Kluyveromyces lactis: one gene and its partners. The protein of the gene in region 1 purifies or fractionates together with the protein of each later gene. This does not show direct contact. Links are inferred from orthologs where the notes say so. Each region holds a gene or a part of one and is shown on either strand. Other genes may lie near its edges.

The links.
Region 2: the proteins of RDS3 (region 1) and IST3 purify together in Saccharomyces cerevisiae (affinity purification with mass spectrometry; 3 studies listed by BioGRID). This does not show direct contact. The link is inferred for Kluyveromyces lactis from reciprocal best matches to the Saccharomyces cerevisiae genes RDS3 and IST3.
Region 3: the proteins of RDS3 (region 1) and CUS1 purify together in Saccharomyces cerevisiae (affinity purification with mass spectrometry; 3 studies listed by BioGRID). This does not show direct contact. The link is inferred for Kluyveromyces lactis from reciprocal best matches to the Saccharomyces cerevisiae genes RDS3 and CUS1.
Region 4: the proteins of RDS3 (region 1) and HSH155 purify together in Saccharomyces cerevisiae (affinity purification with mass spectrometry; 4 studies listed by BioGRID). This does not show direct contact. The link is inferred for Kluyveromyces lactis from reciprocal best matches to the Saccharomyces cerevisiae genes RDS3 and HSH155.
Region 5: the proteins of RDS3 (region 1) and RSE1 purify together in Saccharomyces cerevisiae (affinity purification with mass spectrometry; 5 studies listed by BioGRID). This does not show direct contact. The link is inferred for Kluyveromyces lactis from reciprocal best matches to the Saccharomyces cerevisiae genes RDS3 and RSE1.

The regions. Positions count from the first base shown.
Region 1 is NC_006039.1:1,359,168-1,361,465, reverse strand, and holds RDS3 (U2 snRNP complex subunit RDS3), read left to right. Parts: upstream 1-1,450; coding exon 1,451-1,786; downstream 1,787-2,298. Other genes in the region: twinfilin TWF1, read left to right, coding at 1-138; ubiquitin-protein ligase ASR1, read right to left, coding at 263-1,177; Arf family guanine nucleotide exchange factor SYT1, read right to left, coding at 1,999-2,298. UniProt on the Saccharomyces cerevisiae protein: Required for pre-mRNA splicing. Involved in regulation of drug sensitivity and may play a role in multidrug resistance.
Region 2 is NC_006040.1:1,156,989-1,159,349, forward strand, and holds IST3 (U2 snRNP complex subunit IST3), read right to left. Parts: upstream 1,004-2,361; coding exon 503-1,003; downstream 1-502. Other genes in the region: actin cytoskeleton-regulatory complex protein PAN1, read left to right, coding at 1-357; KLLA0_D13442g (bifunctional 4-hydroxy-4-methyl-2-oxoglutarate aldolase/oxaloacetate decarboxylase), read left to right, coding at 1,339-2,046; DJP1 (Djp1p), read right to left, coding at 2,263-2,361. UniProt on the Saccharomyces cerevisiae protein: Required for pre-mRNA splicing and spliceosome assembly. As part of the pre-mRNA retention and splicing (RES) complex, required for nuclear pre-mRNA retention and efficient splicing. Required for MER1-activated splicing.
Region 3 is NC_006042.1:790,348-793,822, reverse strand, and holds CUS1 (U2 snRNP complex subunit CUS1), read left to right. Parts: upstream 1-1,512; coding exon 1,513-2,964; downstream 2,965-3,475. Other genes in the region: RRG7 (Rrg7p), read right to left, coding at 155-856; BIL1 (Bil1p), read left to right, coding at 1,048-1,278; peptide alpha-N-acetyltransferase complex A subunit NAT1, read left to right, coding at 3,344-3,475. UniProt on the Saccharomyces cerevisiae protein: Essential splicing protein required for U2 snRNP binding to pre-mRNA during spliceosome assembly.
Region 4 is NC_006037.1:834,367-838,472, reverse strand, and holds the start of HSH155 (U2 snRNP complex subunit HSH155), read right to left. Parts: upstream 2,821-4,106; coding exon 1-2,820. Other genes in the region: GPI-anchor transamidase subunit GPI16, read left to right, coding at 3,087-4,106. UniProt on the Saccharomyces cerevisiae protein: Contacts pre-mRNA on both sides of the branch site early in spliceosome assembly.
Region 5 is NC_006037.1:720,982-725,017, forward strand, and holds the start of RSE1 (U2 snRNP complex subunit RSE1), read left to right. Parts: upstream 1-1,235; coding exon 1,236-4,036. Other genes in the region: GSF2 (Gsf2p), read right to left, coding at 1-1. UniProt on the Saccharomyces cerevisiae protein: Involved in G2/M transition. Required for pre-mRNA splicing and endoplasmic reticulum (ER) to Golgi secretion pathway. U2 snRNPs associated protein required for the pre-spliceosome assembly.

The DNA of each region.
Region 1 (2,298 bases):
ATCAAGAGGACATTTGAAATTGGTGATTCTGATGAGCTAGATCTCTCAGAATTTAACGATGAAAGTGCAGAAGTTAATACCCAATCCGCTGCCAAACCAAAATTCAATAAACCTAAGGCACCTTCTAGAAGAAGATAAGCTTTATATTTCGTGATATAGAATACCATTGCTGATGGGACTAGCATTCTGTTTCGAATGGTAACTTTCAATATGCACAGGCAGAATTATTATTTACCAAAAAGATATCAAAATATATTAACAATTACATAACTTCCCTGATGGAGAGCCTAGCCTGCTCCTCGTAATTTATCCTGCTGGGATCGAACCCAGTTGAAGATAACCCATATAACTTCCGTGACACCATTTTGTTTATGGCGATGTATCGATCCTTCGATAAAGATCCGCGGTGGTAGAATTTATCCAACTCTGTTCGTACGTATCCTTGTATCCTGCATTTGTCCTCGTAACTGATGGTGTAAGGTTGTGCGAATCTATTGTAAATGCATTCAGTAAGAATACTTCGCTTATCTCTCATCCTTCCATCGTAAATTCTCACGTTCGAATCTCGTATTACCATTGAAGATACTTTGTTCCCACGTAGTCTACAAAGAGTACCATCACACTCTATGCAACACCATTCTTTCTCACCGACTTCGCACAATAACTCATTCAGGCATGAAGAGTGGAATAACGTCTCACATGATTCACAGTATAACGTTATGTCATCATCAATTTCACCGCATAAGGCACATTGCAAGAGCTCTACTCCCTGCATGCCATTATTATTCTGTGGCTGATGTCCGATCTCTTCCGATTGTAGTGTATCCTGGTCACCATTGCCATTAGGATCTTCTTCCTCTTCCTCTTCTTCTTCTTCTTCTTCCTCTTCCTCTTCTATCGCTGCTACTGCTTCTTGCTCATCATCATTCAGTAATCGAAGCTTGGCAAACTGCTCGATCAACGACACATTACACCAGTACTTCAAATCAATCTCGATATCATCATGTTTACGGCGAAGGCTTTTGGACTCTTTTCTGCATGTAGGACACTTAAAATCGTTCGAATATAAGTGCCACTTCCTAATACAAGAAACATGATATCTATGCTCACAGGGTAAAAGCTCCCCTTGATCAGTTTCATTCATAGATTCCAAACAAATACCACATATTTCAATCATCTTGTGATATATAATGTAGTTGCTCGGAGGGTCATATAATATGAACGGTTTCCAAACCTACTTTTCTTCGTTTTTTTGGCCTATCCTGTAGATCAGTTCCTGTTTAAATCAACGGCTGCCACTTAAGCCCATCTTCTATAAAATTGTACCTTAGATATCAAAACTAAAAGAACCCACATATTAAAACAAAGAACAGAAAACTAAGTGTTTTTCCCCATACACCGTCAGGTCTTATTAATCTATTTATATTACTATTATTATCACTGGATTAAGATGTCTCGCCATCAGTACGACTTGGTTATGTGCATGAAACTTCCTGGAACCTCTGTAGGGAAGGTTTGTGATAGATGTGATGGAAGATGTCCCTTATGTGATTCAGATGTAAGGCTAATTTCTAAGGTACGGATATGCGACTCTTGCTCCTCTGGAAGTAGTGGAAGCAGGTGTATAATTTGCGGAAGTCCTGGAACGCATGAAGCGTTATATTGTTGGGACTGCCACAGATCTGAACGAAGCCGAGATGGCTGTCCCAGAATTTTGAATGTGGGTAGCAATAAGACGGACAGGTTATATAACAAAAAGACGGCGGATACCGGCAAAGGAGTATAGGATATCGATTTCTATCTTAAGGAACTATAATTTGTTATTTTACTGTTCATACGCTGATACAGTGTTGTATATTTACATGCATGAATTCTTAATTTCCATCGTTTCCAATTTATGGCATTCTGAGAATGATACTTTTAAAGTTTTAGTCGGTAAAAACATTGAACCATCGCTCAATCTATTTCCGAGATCGAAGCTTGGCCAAAACTTTTTGATTATTGGTTAAATAAGAAACTCTCTTCGATGGAATTGGCTTCGTATCGATTATATTCACTTGGATTTGGTTCCAGACCAAATACAAGCTTCAAGAGTTTAACGTATATATCAAGTCTTTCGTTTTGATATGAGACCATTTCTATTCTTTTTATTATACCATTGACATGATCGATTAAGTTTGATCTAGTCTTTGTTGATAAGGGTACCGTGTCAAGGTATATGTTAAGCTGTGAGTGTAGCGAATACCATTTCGACATATTCTGTTCATGGTTACTTTTCAGCTTTAGTATTTTATCTTC
Region 2 (2,361 bases), on another chromosome or scaffold:
TCCCTGATCCCACCTCCACCTCCATTGCCTACGTCGATTACTGAAGGGTCTGGTGCCCCACCAGTACCTATCGCCCCACCATTGCCTCAAATAAACAGTGACGTAGCACCTGCTGTTCCTGTGGCAGCTCCTTTACTAAAAGTAGGAGGAACTGCAACTTTAGCAGAGAACGAAGAACCAAAGCCGGATGATGCATCCGACGTACTATCTATCCCAGAGTCGGTGGCCTCTGATGAGGAAGATAAGTTCCATACACCAGGTGCTGAAGATGTATCTGTCGCACCTACTGGCGCAATCCCTCCCGCTCCTCCCGCTCCTCCAGTGCCGGTCATCCCTCCACCACCACCGATGCCATAAGTTATATGCTCTCGCGTCCGTAAATTCATGTATCTAAATTATTGAAAAGTAGTTACAGGATATGTACATAAATATCATTTGAAACTAAAAGTCTACGTTGTCATAAAAGAACTGCTCCGTACTTGTTCCTTTAGGAATGTGAATTTCATTTCTTCAGAAACGCAGCCATTGGATCAGCAAACTCATCCAACGGGTCAGCCACCGATTCTTGCTTCATGGGTTCACTCGGTACGTCTCCTGTTTTTGCGAAATCCTTCTCCAACTCTTGTCTTACAGCTTCCTCGTACTCAGCTTCATCGGATCTTGGCCTATAAAAAGCATGATCTACTCGTATCAGTCTTCCACAAACCTTGGCTCCATTTAGGTTATCCACCGCAAGTATAGTCGATCTTTGATCTTCATACTTGAGAAACCCGAACCCTTTAGATTTTCCAGTTGTCTGGTCGCGTACAAGTTTGATGTCCACAGGACAGCCGTACTGGGAGAATATGGTGAGAATATCAGCTTCTGTCAATTCGAGGTGCATCCCTCCAAAGTTTATGTAGGCCTGATCTTTATACTCATGATGCCATGAGCTTTCTGGCTTTAGAATCCCACATTCCAACTCCCTTTCACTAAGTTTCTGTATCGACCTTATCTGATTCATAATTGATAATCGTATTGGATCTTCACTTCCAAATATTCACAGTTGAACCAGCCTCCCAATGACCGCAAAGTACCAGCTCTATTGGTTATTCCTTATCCTTTCTATCAGAAAATTGCAGCTCCTTTTCGGTAACCGTCAAATTCTTCTCCGGTTCCTCCATTCGTGCGTAACACCTTCAATTGTCTTCTTGTTCTTATATAAACGAACTTTCAAGAAACTTATTCAAATCTTTAACACCTTTAAATTATCAACACTTTTCCATCGCTCGAAAGAAGTTAAATCCAGAGTTTATGCACTACCGGGATCGCTGCTGAATTATAATTCCCACACGCAGAATGTCAGAGTATCTTGCAAGGTTGAGACATTTCACTACTTGTGACATCTCAGATGGGCTATTGAATTTGTATGGAATCACTAATGGTGGATATTTCCCTAATTTGGTGAGAAGGTCAGGGTCTGGGACTATCGTGGGTAGGGCTTTTCCTGTGTTGTTCGGGCATAAAAATGCTACCCAAGATAAACCCAGTGTCAATTACATCGATAATGTGCCAGCAGAATCTATCGTAACCATCGGTATGACTGAAGATTTACAATTGAGCAGTGCTCCATATACCAAACCTATTCAGGGCATGTACGGTGGATTAATGTCTACAAGAGCAAAATATTTAGGCAGCCATGGTACGGTTGTATTTGGTAGAATCAGAGATATCGAAGAGCATAAGGCATTGGATCACAGCGTTTTCAGTTACGGTATCGGTACCTGTGCTCCAAAAGCAGTTTTGAAACCGATTTCGTATAACTGTGAGTTGAAGATTAAGATTAGCGATGGCACTACGGAGACAATTAATCCCGGCGATTATTTGGTATGTGATGATCATGGAATGGTTCGTATTCCAACTGCCGCCGTCGACTTAGATAAGTTGATCACATATATAGAAAAGTCTATCGAAGCCGATGACCTTGTTTCTCAAGACATAAAGGAGGGAAAACCTGCTGCTCAGTCTCAATCAGAACGTAGAGCAATTCTTAAACAATATTTGTAATTTACAGCCCTCCCCCGTTGATCGTCAGGAGTTGCAATATTCGGTTGCGTAGTCGAAAGTTTATCGCTATGTTAAATTAATATTATTGTCAATTAAGTAGCAAGCTATGTATGTATATATGAACATGATGCAGAAATAAAGAATGAAAAAACAAGAATTGGCAAGTGTTTATGCTATTATTAGGTAGGAAGCACTCGGTTTGAGAATATTTTGTATTCACTGTTTATTGGCAGTGCTGCTAGTGTGATGCTTATGACCCTTTTTCTTGCTTGCTTCCGCCACGAGCTCTTCAAACACTTGGGCATCCTCTTGTTC
Region 3 (3,475 bases), on another chromosome or scaffold:
TATCTCGTTTTCATGCGCTGCATAATCAGATACACAACCTTTATAAATTTATACATCTTTAAATTAATTAGCATATCATATTTATTACATTCATCATATGTACAGGTTTCATTCTATTTAAACTTTTCTGATAGCGTAATTGCGTGCTAATATTTCATTTTTGTGCTAAGGACTCATAACCTTTCAATTTTAACCATTCTTTGATTCCACAATTTGCAAGTAATTTCGATGCATAGTCATTCTCATAATAATGCTGTAGTTTTCCCGAGTTTTTCACATCGAAGCTTCCATCAGCTAATCTCTGGATCATATCCACTTTGGTAAATACCATTGGTATTGCGGCCTCATTAAACAGCCTTATTCCATCTTTTGTAAACAAAGTTGGAGAGCTCATTATCATTATGCTCGAGTTTCTTTTACGAGCGGGAACTTGCATGGAGAATGATCCAATTAATTCCCGTACCTGGCGGCCAGTAACTTTATCTGAATTGAAAGCCTTACATTGAATGTAACAGTCTAAATATTTATCGGGTTTCACCCTATGTTTCCATGGTTTTATCGATGTAGTCGGAAGTTTCAAACGTTTAGGTAGCTCATCGAATTGTATTTGCATTTCTATAGCCTTTGTTAATGGTAAAACGTTCCATTTGCCCCGAATATCAATGCCGCCATCATATGAACCGCCAACTACCTGCATATCCTCCAGTCGGAGCTTATTCATTAATTCTCGTACCACCGTGAGCTCATATAGCGTACCTTGAAAAACGGTAGAGTTGGCGATGCTCTCATTGGCAGCAATATACTTCTGTAAAGTATCTTTGGGAAATGAACTTGCAAAAACCCCTTTCCAACTCATCTGTATACCTAATAGGCTATCATGGACAAAATAGACCAGCTGGCGTTCTCGCCATTGTTAGTCTCATCACCTCCATGTATCATTTGTATCACCAAAATTTGGATCGGATTCAAATAACTAAAAAAAATGTAAATGTCATAGAACCGACATACCTTGAAGTCTATTGATCTAGCTTACATACAGCCATATACATGCAGTCATCACTTCAAAAGATGATTTCGACACAACCAATTGTTACCCCTGAACCAAAAGGATCAGAAAATAGTGGTAATTCCAACGAAGATGTTCCCACCGTGTTTGAGATAGCCTCAGATATTCAGCAAAAGTTACAGGACTTACTGCGGAAAGTGAATGACGATGATGTACAATTTAACAAATTCGCCGATTCAATCAACGATAGACTCAAGAATTTAGAAGAGTGATTCGTTATTATCCATAGTCATATAGCATCTATCACATGTATACAAGACCGTTGAATGTTGCCATATCTGTTCACGTATAATATAATGGTATAAATTTCAACATTTAATTGAAAAATATATGTGGTCTTAATAAAGGACATAAAAAAGGCAAATTGACAGATGAGCATACAATAGTATTCTGGCTCGACTGCTTATTAATATAACAACAGTCAACTGCCCACCAGATATTGCACTATGGTAAAGAAAGCCAAGGCTAATAAACGCCGTTCAAAGAATAAAAATGGATCTGTGAAAGAGGATGCAGAAGAAAGGAAGAAGAGGCTTTCCAGTTTGTTACAACAAGTGTCATCAGAGAATGGCAACACCTCGCAACAGGTAATTAATGAACCTTTAGTTATCAAGGATGAAAGTCTCAATAAAGTGTTACAAAGATTTAAAGCTTCGGCTACAGGGGCCGATGAGGATGATGATTCAAAACGGGAACAAGCCATAGTACGAAAAGAACGGGCTGATATTGACGATGAGGATGCTGAGGGTTCCGACAGTTTTGAGGATCAAGCGGATGAAGTACTTCAAAATATATCAGAAAGACAAAAGAGACTTGCTAACAAACCAAGTATTGCTGTTTTGAAAGCTTCAGTACCATATCCGGAACTCATCGAATGGTTTGACTGCGATGCGCAATGGCCTTATTTCAATGCAGCTATAAAGACAACACATAATACAGTGGGGATCCCCAGACATTGGCAAATGAAAAGAGGTTATTTATCTGGACGATCAATGATGGAAAGGAAGCCATTTCAATTACCTGAGATTATTAGACAAACCGATATTGAAACGATGCGAGAGACTGTTCCCTCTGGAAACGAAAAGCAAGCAGAGAAATTGAAGGATATTACCAGAGCAAAAGTTCAACCCAAGCTAGGTGTATTAGATCTAGATTATAAAAGGTTGTACGAAGCATTTTTCACTTTGGGAAAGAATTGGAAACCTGAACTATTGTCATTTGGTGATTTATATTATGAAAACAGAAGTTTGGATAGTGAACTCGAATGGAAACAAATAAAGACACGATATAGACCAGGGTATCTATCGGAAACTTTAAGGGAGGCATTAAATCTCACGGAGGGGATGCTCCCGCCTTGGTGTCATGAAATGAATAGATTAGGACTACCCAAATCATACCCTGGTATGAAAGTCTGTGGAATAAATTGGGAAATCTCTAATCTTACCGGTACACAATACGGATACTACCCTGAAGATACTTTGAGAATACCCAAACAAAACTTATTCGGAGCCATGTTCTCATTTGAAGAATTAGAAGATCAAGACGCACATATTGATCCAGATCCGTTGAACGAATCAATTTCCGACGATGAGGTGTCTTCAGACGCCAATGAAGCGGAAGCAACAAAAACAGAAAGCGAGACACATGAAAACAATAATTCAGGCTTAGTGCCAATTGATGGAGGCTCTGTAGTCAACCAGCACTATGATGAAAATAGACCCTTATTTACTGTTCTAACGGAAGCTAAATCAAACGAAGTCGACGGATCTACAATAATCAGTTCCACTACCTCTTACAATATTACGAACAAACGATCAACAAGCGTAGAGGAGAAGGACGATGATAATGTCTTACATAAAAAACAGAAAGTGGAAGAAGAGCCTGACTTCCGTTTTTGATCTTTACATTAACTCGTTAGAAACCCTACGTTTCAAAAGTGTCAGCTGTTTCCCTTTAATTACGTAAAATATTTGTAAATGTGAGTATGTAACTATATCAAAAGTATCATTGGATTGCAACATGTTTTAACTTTATTGCAGTAGGTGAGTAATAAACTCCTTGAATCGTACCAGCTCCGCTTGCTAACTATTACCTTCAGTTCGTTCAAACCCAAACATTTCATTTTCAATGTATCTCTAAACTGAAAAATTTACAATAGTCAACGTCTAAATCATGAAAATTATCAAGTTCAACAATCATATTCATGACTGAATAAATGGAGAAACACTCTTACTGGCTTGCTTATCTACACTCAGCGACCCATTGATCTACACTAGCATGTATAAAAAAAAGGGACTATCTCACGGGAAAGTGGGACTTCCAATTGGTAGGTCTAAGGATGACAGCAATATGTTGGAAGCACTGCAACTATATGAAGGTAAAAATTACAAGAAGTCGTTGAAGATCTTG
Region 4 (4,106 bases), on another chromosome or scaffold:
CGGAACCAAAGCATCTGGTTGAGCGACGTATGCTCCGTTATATAGTTTCCAATATGCGTTCCGAACATTCTTAGCAGGATGAAATAAACCTCCCCAGGCATAATTCATAGAAACACCTGGTCCTAGAGCCATTCTTAGTCCTTCTAGCCCCTCTAGGATTCTGGAAATAACATGAGGTGAAGTTTCAAAGACGTTTGGCAATAATAAATTCATGCAATGGATGAACGCGTCCTCTAATCCTCTTCCTGCACAATTGAAAGCTAAATGCTTTATGCAGGTTGCTGCAGTTTGTCGATGAACCAAGTCCCTATCTGTTAGAGCATCCTGCAACAACGGTATAAGTGGATAAATGTAATCCTTAGACATGGGACCAATGTATTCTAAAATAAAGGCAAGTGCCTTTAAAATACCGTTCTGTACGTTTGTGTCAGGTGTTCTGTATTCATTCATCAATGCAGGTATGACAACAAATGGCCCACATGTCTTAGCAACGATACCAATTGCAATAGAGGTGTTAACACGAAGTTGACGTTCTTGCACCTTCAAATTATTTAACAACGTTACCAAAACATCCTGAGGTCCTATCGCTTTGGCAATATATCCAAATGTTCTGTTCGCTGCCACCCTGATGGACTTCACAGGACTTTTTAACATTTCCAAAAGCTCAGAACAAATGCGCATCCATTCTTTAGGAGAAACATATTCAGGCCCACGCCTGGCAATTCTTCCAACAAGTTTAACAGTAGATTCCTGGACTAAAGGATGGTTGTTTCTCAAAATTGGTGTCAATGATAGTAAAATTTGATTCGGAGGTGGTTGTAAGTCAGTTAGCCTTATCTGTGCAGCAGCTTTGTCCATTGCGGAAATGATTGCAGCTAACACCTCTGGATAAACTTCGCCTAACGATTCAAAAAGGATAATGTTGAATTTATTGATAAGAGCTGTTTCTTCACAGTGTTTGAAAACCGGGATCAAGAGGGCACATAAACTCGCCGCATGTGTTCTAACCAAAGGTTTTTTGTGTTTCAAATGTTCTAGAATAATACTTGACACCGGCGAAATATACGGTTTCATTCTGGTATTCAAAGATTTGGCGACAGTTCCAATAGATCTGTAGACAATTCTCTCACCATTCGTTTGATCTTGGAATGCAATAAGTAAAGCATCAAGCAACCTCGCTTCAAGCCTTTCATCAACATCTGTCATTCCTAATGCTTTCACAACTCTGTTAACTGCATGTGCACCCATTGTTCTGAACGGTTCAGATTCATCCTTTAATGGATATATAAGCTTTTCAAGCGTGAATGCAGCTCCAGTCTTATTAGCCAATAAAACAGTAGTAAATGTTACTATGTTGTTGAGTTGACGATCCAAAGCCGATCTACGAACCCAAAATTGTTTGAAAAACTCTGCTGCTAGCTCTTTTCTCAGATACTGAGGTGTTACACCTTCAGTCACGGAAAGCTTTTGTATAACAAATAGAACCGTTTTCTTCATATCTTCGTTCGGTGAATTGAATTCTCTCTTTACAATCTTCATCACTTCTTCAGCGTAATACGACGCATATTCGGGATCCATCAACGGAATGAGAAATCCTAGAGCCTTCAAAAATGCAGCTAGTTCTCTTCCCCTGTTTTGTTTAACACCTCTCCAAAGTGGTTCGAGGACCGGATTAAAGCGCTCAATACCATATGGCTGGCAGCTTTGTGCCAATGATGACACTGTTTGAGCGGCTATGATTCTCACTGGAGGATGTTCATCTTGAAATCCCTTCTCTATACATGCGATAAGATCGTCGAGGTATGGTAAGCTACCAATCCCTACTAAAATAGCAATTTGCTGAATTATCTTTATCCCAGTATGTCTTGCCTTCCAGCTCTTTTTCGATCTACAAACCAATCGTAGGAATGGTATTGTTTGACTTACCCCGAAGGCTTTCGATACAACGGCCATTGCTCTCGCCGTCGTGTTTCGCACATACTCATCCTCATGGTCGAGATCTGGTCTCATTGTGTATATCATTGTCGGTAGTCCCACGGCTTTTGCCAAAGTAGTTATAATATCTCTACCTGTAGATCTAGTCAAGGGCACAGGATCTATAAGCATAGGACATAATACTATTAGGAGCTTATGTGTATATGGTTTTACCAAATCCTGGAGCTGGAAAAGAATTCTATCCATAAGTTTCAACATTAGTTGATGCTCTTCATCTTCAAGTGTTTTATCGAGAAGAATGGGCAAGATCGAATCAAATAACAATGGTGCCCCGAAAGAGGGTGCCTTTTGAGTGAGTGCTCTGAGAGCTATTTTCCTAGAGCTTGGTAACCCATTTTTCACCTTAAGTACCAATTTTAAAACCTGTTTCTGTTTCCTTTCCTCTTCAGTCATATCTTCTGGAGACCTTTCATCAAACAAAATTGCGAAATGTTGTCTGTCTGAAGGCTTAAAGAACTGAAGATTACGTACCCCTGGAACTTCAGTAACCATCTCTTCCGAGAGCTCAGTTATAATATGCTGCGAAGTCTTGGGCATCGTATATCCACCGCCACTTTCCTCTTCCTTATCACCATCCTTATCGGTTTTCCTTCTTTTCACATCTTTCACTTGCTCTTCATCCACTTCTTCATCCAAATTCCTAAGGAACCTTCTCTTATGATAATCAGACTGTTTATTATACAAGCTTCGTTGCTTCTGGTTGGCTGTCAACTCATCATCCCCCTCATCTTTCCCTACAGTCGATTCCAATATGGCTCTGGGAGCAGTGTATTGTCCTGTAAGAGAATGTCGCTGGCCCGACTTTTCGAACTTGATAGCTTCCATTTTAAGTACAGCTGTTTAATACCAAACTCGGCAATAGCAATAAAGATCCTGATTGGTGCTTGCCTTTCAGTTATACCTTTCTTCCTTTTGATTCAAAGGTTCTTGACATCAAAATTGTTACTAAGTTGTAACTCGAATCTTTAATTATAAACACATATACAAAACAAAGAACGATACTTCTCAACAGAGAAAAGAGGATAGTTTAGTTAAGAGGCCAGAAAATAGCCTAACTTTTAGAAAAGTATTATACTCTGGGTCCATACCGCATGAGGTTACAAAATTGGATTCCAGTTTTGCTTCTAGCAGCCATCGTGACGGCTGAAGTAGACTTTGAAGTTAATCCAGTTGACAACGAAACAGAATCAGTTCAGCAAGATGTTATAGATGAAAGCTGGAATGCAGAGCCTGGGGAATCATCGAGAATAACACAGTCCTCGAAGTTTCTTTCACTAGAGCATCCTATTGAGTATAATTTTCGAGAGCATCTGGATCTAACTCCCTTGCCTAACAACTTTTTGCTTGCAAGTTTTCAGTTCTATATGCAATCAGAGCCATTTGGTATAGATAGAGACCAGCACGAATCCAGTGAATACTCTCATCACACAGTTTTCCCGAAGCCCGTTGGGCCCATTATGTCACAGACTAATACCAGACAGTTACACTTGAGATTTACACATGGGCTATGGGATTCACAAGAATGGGGCCAGCTTCCACACAACGGGTTGAAATCTGGAGGAACAGGTGTGGAATTATGGGCTATTGTGGAAGCACCATCGAAGGAAGAAGCGTTGAAATCATGGATAACGTTGGCCAATTCGTTAAGTGGATTGTTCTGTGCTTCCATCAATTTCATTGACACTTCAAAGACGACGTTTCCGGTATCATCATTCTTACCGAAAGAAGACGAAGCGATCCCACTACTGAATCAAAGCAACCATCTTTACCTCATGAGAGCAACTTTAGCCAACGAACCGGTTTGTACTGAAAATTTGACCCCATTTGTAAAACTTTTACCAACAAGAGGGAAATCTGGTATCTCCTCTTTGTTAGATGGCCACAAGATCTTTGATTCAAATTGGCACAGTCTGTCGATTGATGTCAATACTGTTTGTGACGAATCAACTGCCAATTGCCACTTTGTTATGGAAGAATTTATCGAAACAGTGGTCAACGTACCAAATGCTTTGGCCAGAGCTGACAGACCAATTCCGAAGCCTTTACCAGGCGACGAACTTCGTTGTGACACGAATAGACCACACGACGCGTTCCAATGTTTCCCGTTACCT
Region 5 (4,036 bases), on another chromosome or scaffold:
TTGCGACTAGTTTGCTATTGGTTATTGATGTTAATTTTCCCACAAAACCGGAAATATTCGCCTTCCTCTCTGATAAATCTTGAAAAAGTACTGAGTATAGTAACTAGCACTGCTTTGTTGTAATCTGATCTTAACCTTATACCGTCTCTGGTTGGTTCGGATGGCAAATTTGCTTTGGTGTAGTAAATTACACTCTAGAGTTCAGCCTTTTATCCTAGAAGAAAACATTTCGTACTTACCAAGTTTTAGCATATGTCATGTTTCCGTTATTATATATTATTAAGGTTTTTCCTGGTGAAAAGGAACGGACACACAGAGAGGAAGAAGAAAAAAATAAACACACACACAGAGCTGATCTGCCAATATGAGTCCACCCGATATCTGTATGCGGCCGATTAATATTTCCCCAGTAACAATGTATAAATCAACGTGTAGAGACAGACAAAGAGTTTTCTCATACTTGCTCCTCTGACCAGAAGAGAAAGTCAAAAAAACCAATACAGAGTGTCTACCAGTCAAGCTATGGCATTTGAATCCTCATACGGTGTTTTTCTTTTCTGAAGAAGAGAAACACCTACTTAGAGTTAGTAGCGTAATACGCCTTGTGCTTTGAACTTGGTGAACCATATTTACGTTTCTGCACCATCAGGTGCACATTTGTGGGGTTACCAAAACGTGATACCGTTTAACGACACCAGTGCCAGAGCCAGTGCCGGTAAGGGAACAAGTAGTATCGAATTACATGCTGATCTCGTAATGGATTAAAACAATGACTGTGTGCCTTTCTTTCTCAACGTACAAGCATGCCTGTACGCTCTCTTCATCGTAAGTTTTTCCGTCCATATGGAGCGATAAACAGCCTTTGCGTATGTTTCTGTGTTTTCTTATTCCGCTTTGAACGAGCACTTCGCTCCTGCTCCAACAGAAGTTTTTCCGAAACAATGTGGAGTCTCATGTCATTCTGGTCACGTGATCGCATCTTTTCGTGTGACGTGATGTCAGGGTAACATGTTGTTGACTTTTTGGGATTTGTTGGTCACGTGTAAGTTTTTGAAATAGTATTTCCTAACTTCTTCATAAGGGCGGCAAAAAACCAAATCTGAAAGTAAACAAAGTAACTAACAACAGCGCACTTCTTGAGTGCAAGTTGACGAACAACACTACTGATTACCATCAGTATACACCTCTGATCATCGTCTGAAGCGTGTGTTTAGTTACCCGCTAACGAAGATCGGATGACTCAGGACTCTGAAGTGTTGCTATGGCACACTGTTTTACAACGACATAGGAACTACGTTCATTCCTGCATCGGTGATTTTACTTTGGATAGATCATCATTAGCGACAGCAGAAGCTGATACAACAAGTGTTAAGGGACCGAGGTCATCGAAGAAGCGGAAGGAACTGCAATTATGTCTAGCTACACAGGATTGTGTCGAATTGTACGATGTTAGCAATGGAACATTGGATGCGTTGGGTAAATGGCCTATAGCAGCTACTATTCTTTCTATGACCAAGTTGAATATGGATAGATGTTCACATACGATTTTGGTGTTGATAACTGATTCTGGGAATTTAACATTTTGGCAGTTTGAGAGGGATTCCGTGAGCGGGAAAGTGTACGTGCGTACTTTGGCAAACGAACCGATTTCCAGATCTGGGATCAGAAGGTTTGTACCTCAATATCAAATGGTTTCGGATCCACAGAGTAGATGTGTATTTTTCAGTGGGATTGAGCGTTCAAAGATGTGCGTGTTGGCTGACTGGCAACGTGGGAAATTGGTTGTTGGTTCTCCTATAGAGATTCAACGAAGTGATAGAATCACTTTGGCATCGGCAGCTTGTGATGTAAGTTTTGATAATCCGGTGAATGCTGCCATAGAGGTAGAATCTGGGACAAATGATTACTATTTGTCTTTTTATACAATGGATTTGGGTCTTAACACGTTGCTACTCCGGAAAGAGCATCTTTTAGAGGATAAATCCATCAATTTCGTTATGCAATGCCCAAATTTACAACAGTATAAGATTAAAACTAGACCGAATGATGAAACTGATCAAGATTCGGTAAATCCATTTGTTATTTGTGGTTATGATGGATACTTGACTCTGATAGACTTAGAAGGCTTTTATGAAGTGTCTGTTCAACTCCCCGTCAGAAAAACTGTTTCGTCAACTAATATCATCAACGGTACTATTCATAAATTGAAGAAAGATTTTTTCATCCTAATGCAGTCTAACCACGGAGATATGTACAAGGTCGGAATTATCCCTGATGAAGAAACTAAGGCGCCAGTTCTTGAAATTGCATACTTTGATACACTCCCCACTTCTGAAGACATCCACATTTTCAAGTCAGGTGCTCTTTTCAACGTATCAGAATTCGGGACCTCTTATTTAACACAGTTCGAAAGTCTTGGTGAAGATCTAGAAAAAATTACATCTTATACCCCGGGAAGGAGATCATTTATTGAAACAGAGTCCACTTTGAAAAACCTATCCATTCTTGACTCCTTAACTTCTTTAAATCCCTTGACGTCATTTCATGCATCAAATTCGACACCACTCACGATATTGGCTGCAGCCAATCAAACTGAGAATCTTGTTAAATTGACTTCTGCGGTTGATTTTGAAGAACTTATATCAACTACATTACCTAGAATACCATCAAAACTTTGGACCGTTAGAATTCCTAAAAACGAAACTCACAGTCTGATATTTCTTTCTATGGAAACCTCAACGACCATCTTGAAGATCCATGAGGGAACTGTCGAAGATTTTGGTGGAGATTCAAACCCATTTATTTTGAACAAACCATCATTGTTTGTTGGCGCTATGGTTCAAAGAAGTATTATTCAAGTTACTCGGGATTGTCTTTTACAAATTATTGAAATGCATGATGGTCCATACACCAAAAAACTTGAATGGTATCCACCAGCTGGTGTTGGCATCGTGACAGCATTTTGTAATGAGACACAGTTAGTTGTCGCTTTAACAAATCATGAAATATGCTATTTTGAAATCATAGAAGATTCGTTAAACGAATTACAGGATCGAGTGGAGATGGATTCTACAGTGAATTCTATTGCATTGCTCGCCGGTCAAAAGTCAGGCTATTGTGTATTAGGATGTGAAGATTCTAGTCTGCAGATTCTCAACTTACAGAGTAAACATCCAGATTTTTTCACTATCTGTGCTATTCAGTCACTAATATCAAAACCGCACTCTCTACTTTTCATGCGGGACACGTCGGATCTTAAGATCCACGTAGGTATGAAAAGTGGTGTTTATCTGTCATCTAAACTCAATATCAATGATGGCACAGTGTTCGATGTACGTACTAGATTTGTCGGAACGAAGCCCGTCCAGGTAAATCTCTTGGACAATATAGATATCAATCACAAAGATGATGATGATGATGAACCTGGAGAAAATGATTCAAAAATAGACGATTTCAAGAAGAAGATTTCGGATTTCACTCCACTAGTGGTATTGAATTCAAGCATATCTTGGGTAACTTACGAAATTGATGATAAAATCACATTACGTCCTTTGAAAACAGATGAGGGGATAACCTTGAAACATATAAATGCTTTTATCACGGATGATATCAAGCGCAACGGCTGCTGTTCCATAACCAGCAAAGGGCAACTCCTAATCGGCAAATTAGATAACTTTTTGTCCTGGAGTAACTGGTTCAATGAGAAAAAGTATACCCTTGTTAATGACGAACTTAAAAACGCTGGCAATGAAGAAGAGGATGAAGATGAGGATGAAGATGAGGATGAAGATGCAAGTGAGAAGTACGAAATCGTTGGTTATCAATCACAACGGATCCTTTCAGATACAACGGACAATTCGTTATCATATGTTATTTCAAAGACAGCTAATAAAGAAACCAGTCTATCAGCTATTCGCGATGATAAGCTATTGGCAACAAACAATGGGAATACGGTCGTGATTATTGCTAAAGAGGTCTTTAATGCTGTCTGTAGTTGCAATTTCGGTACAAATGTTAAATATATTGTCATATCTAC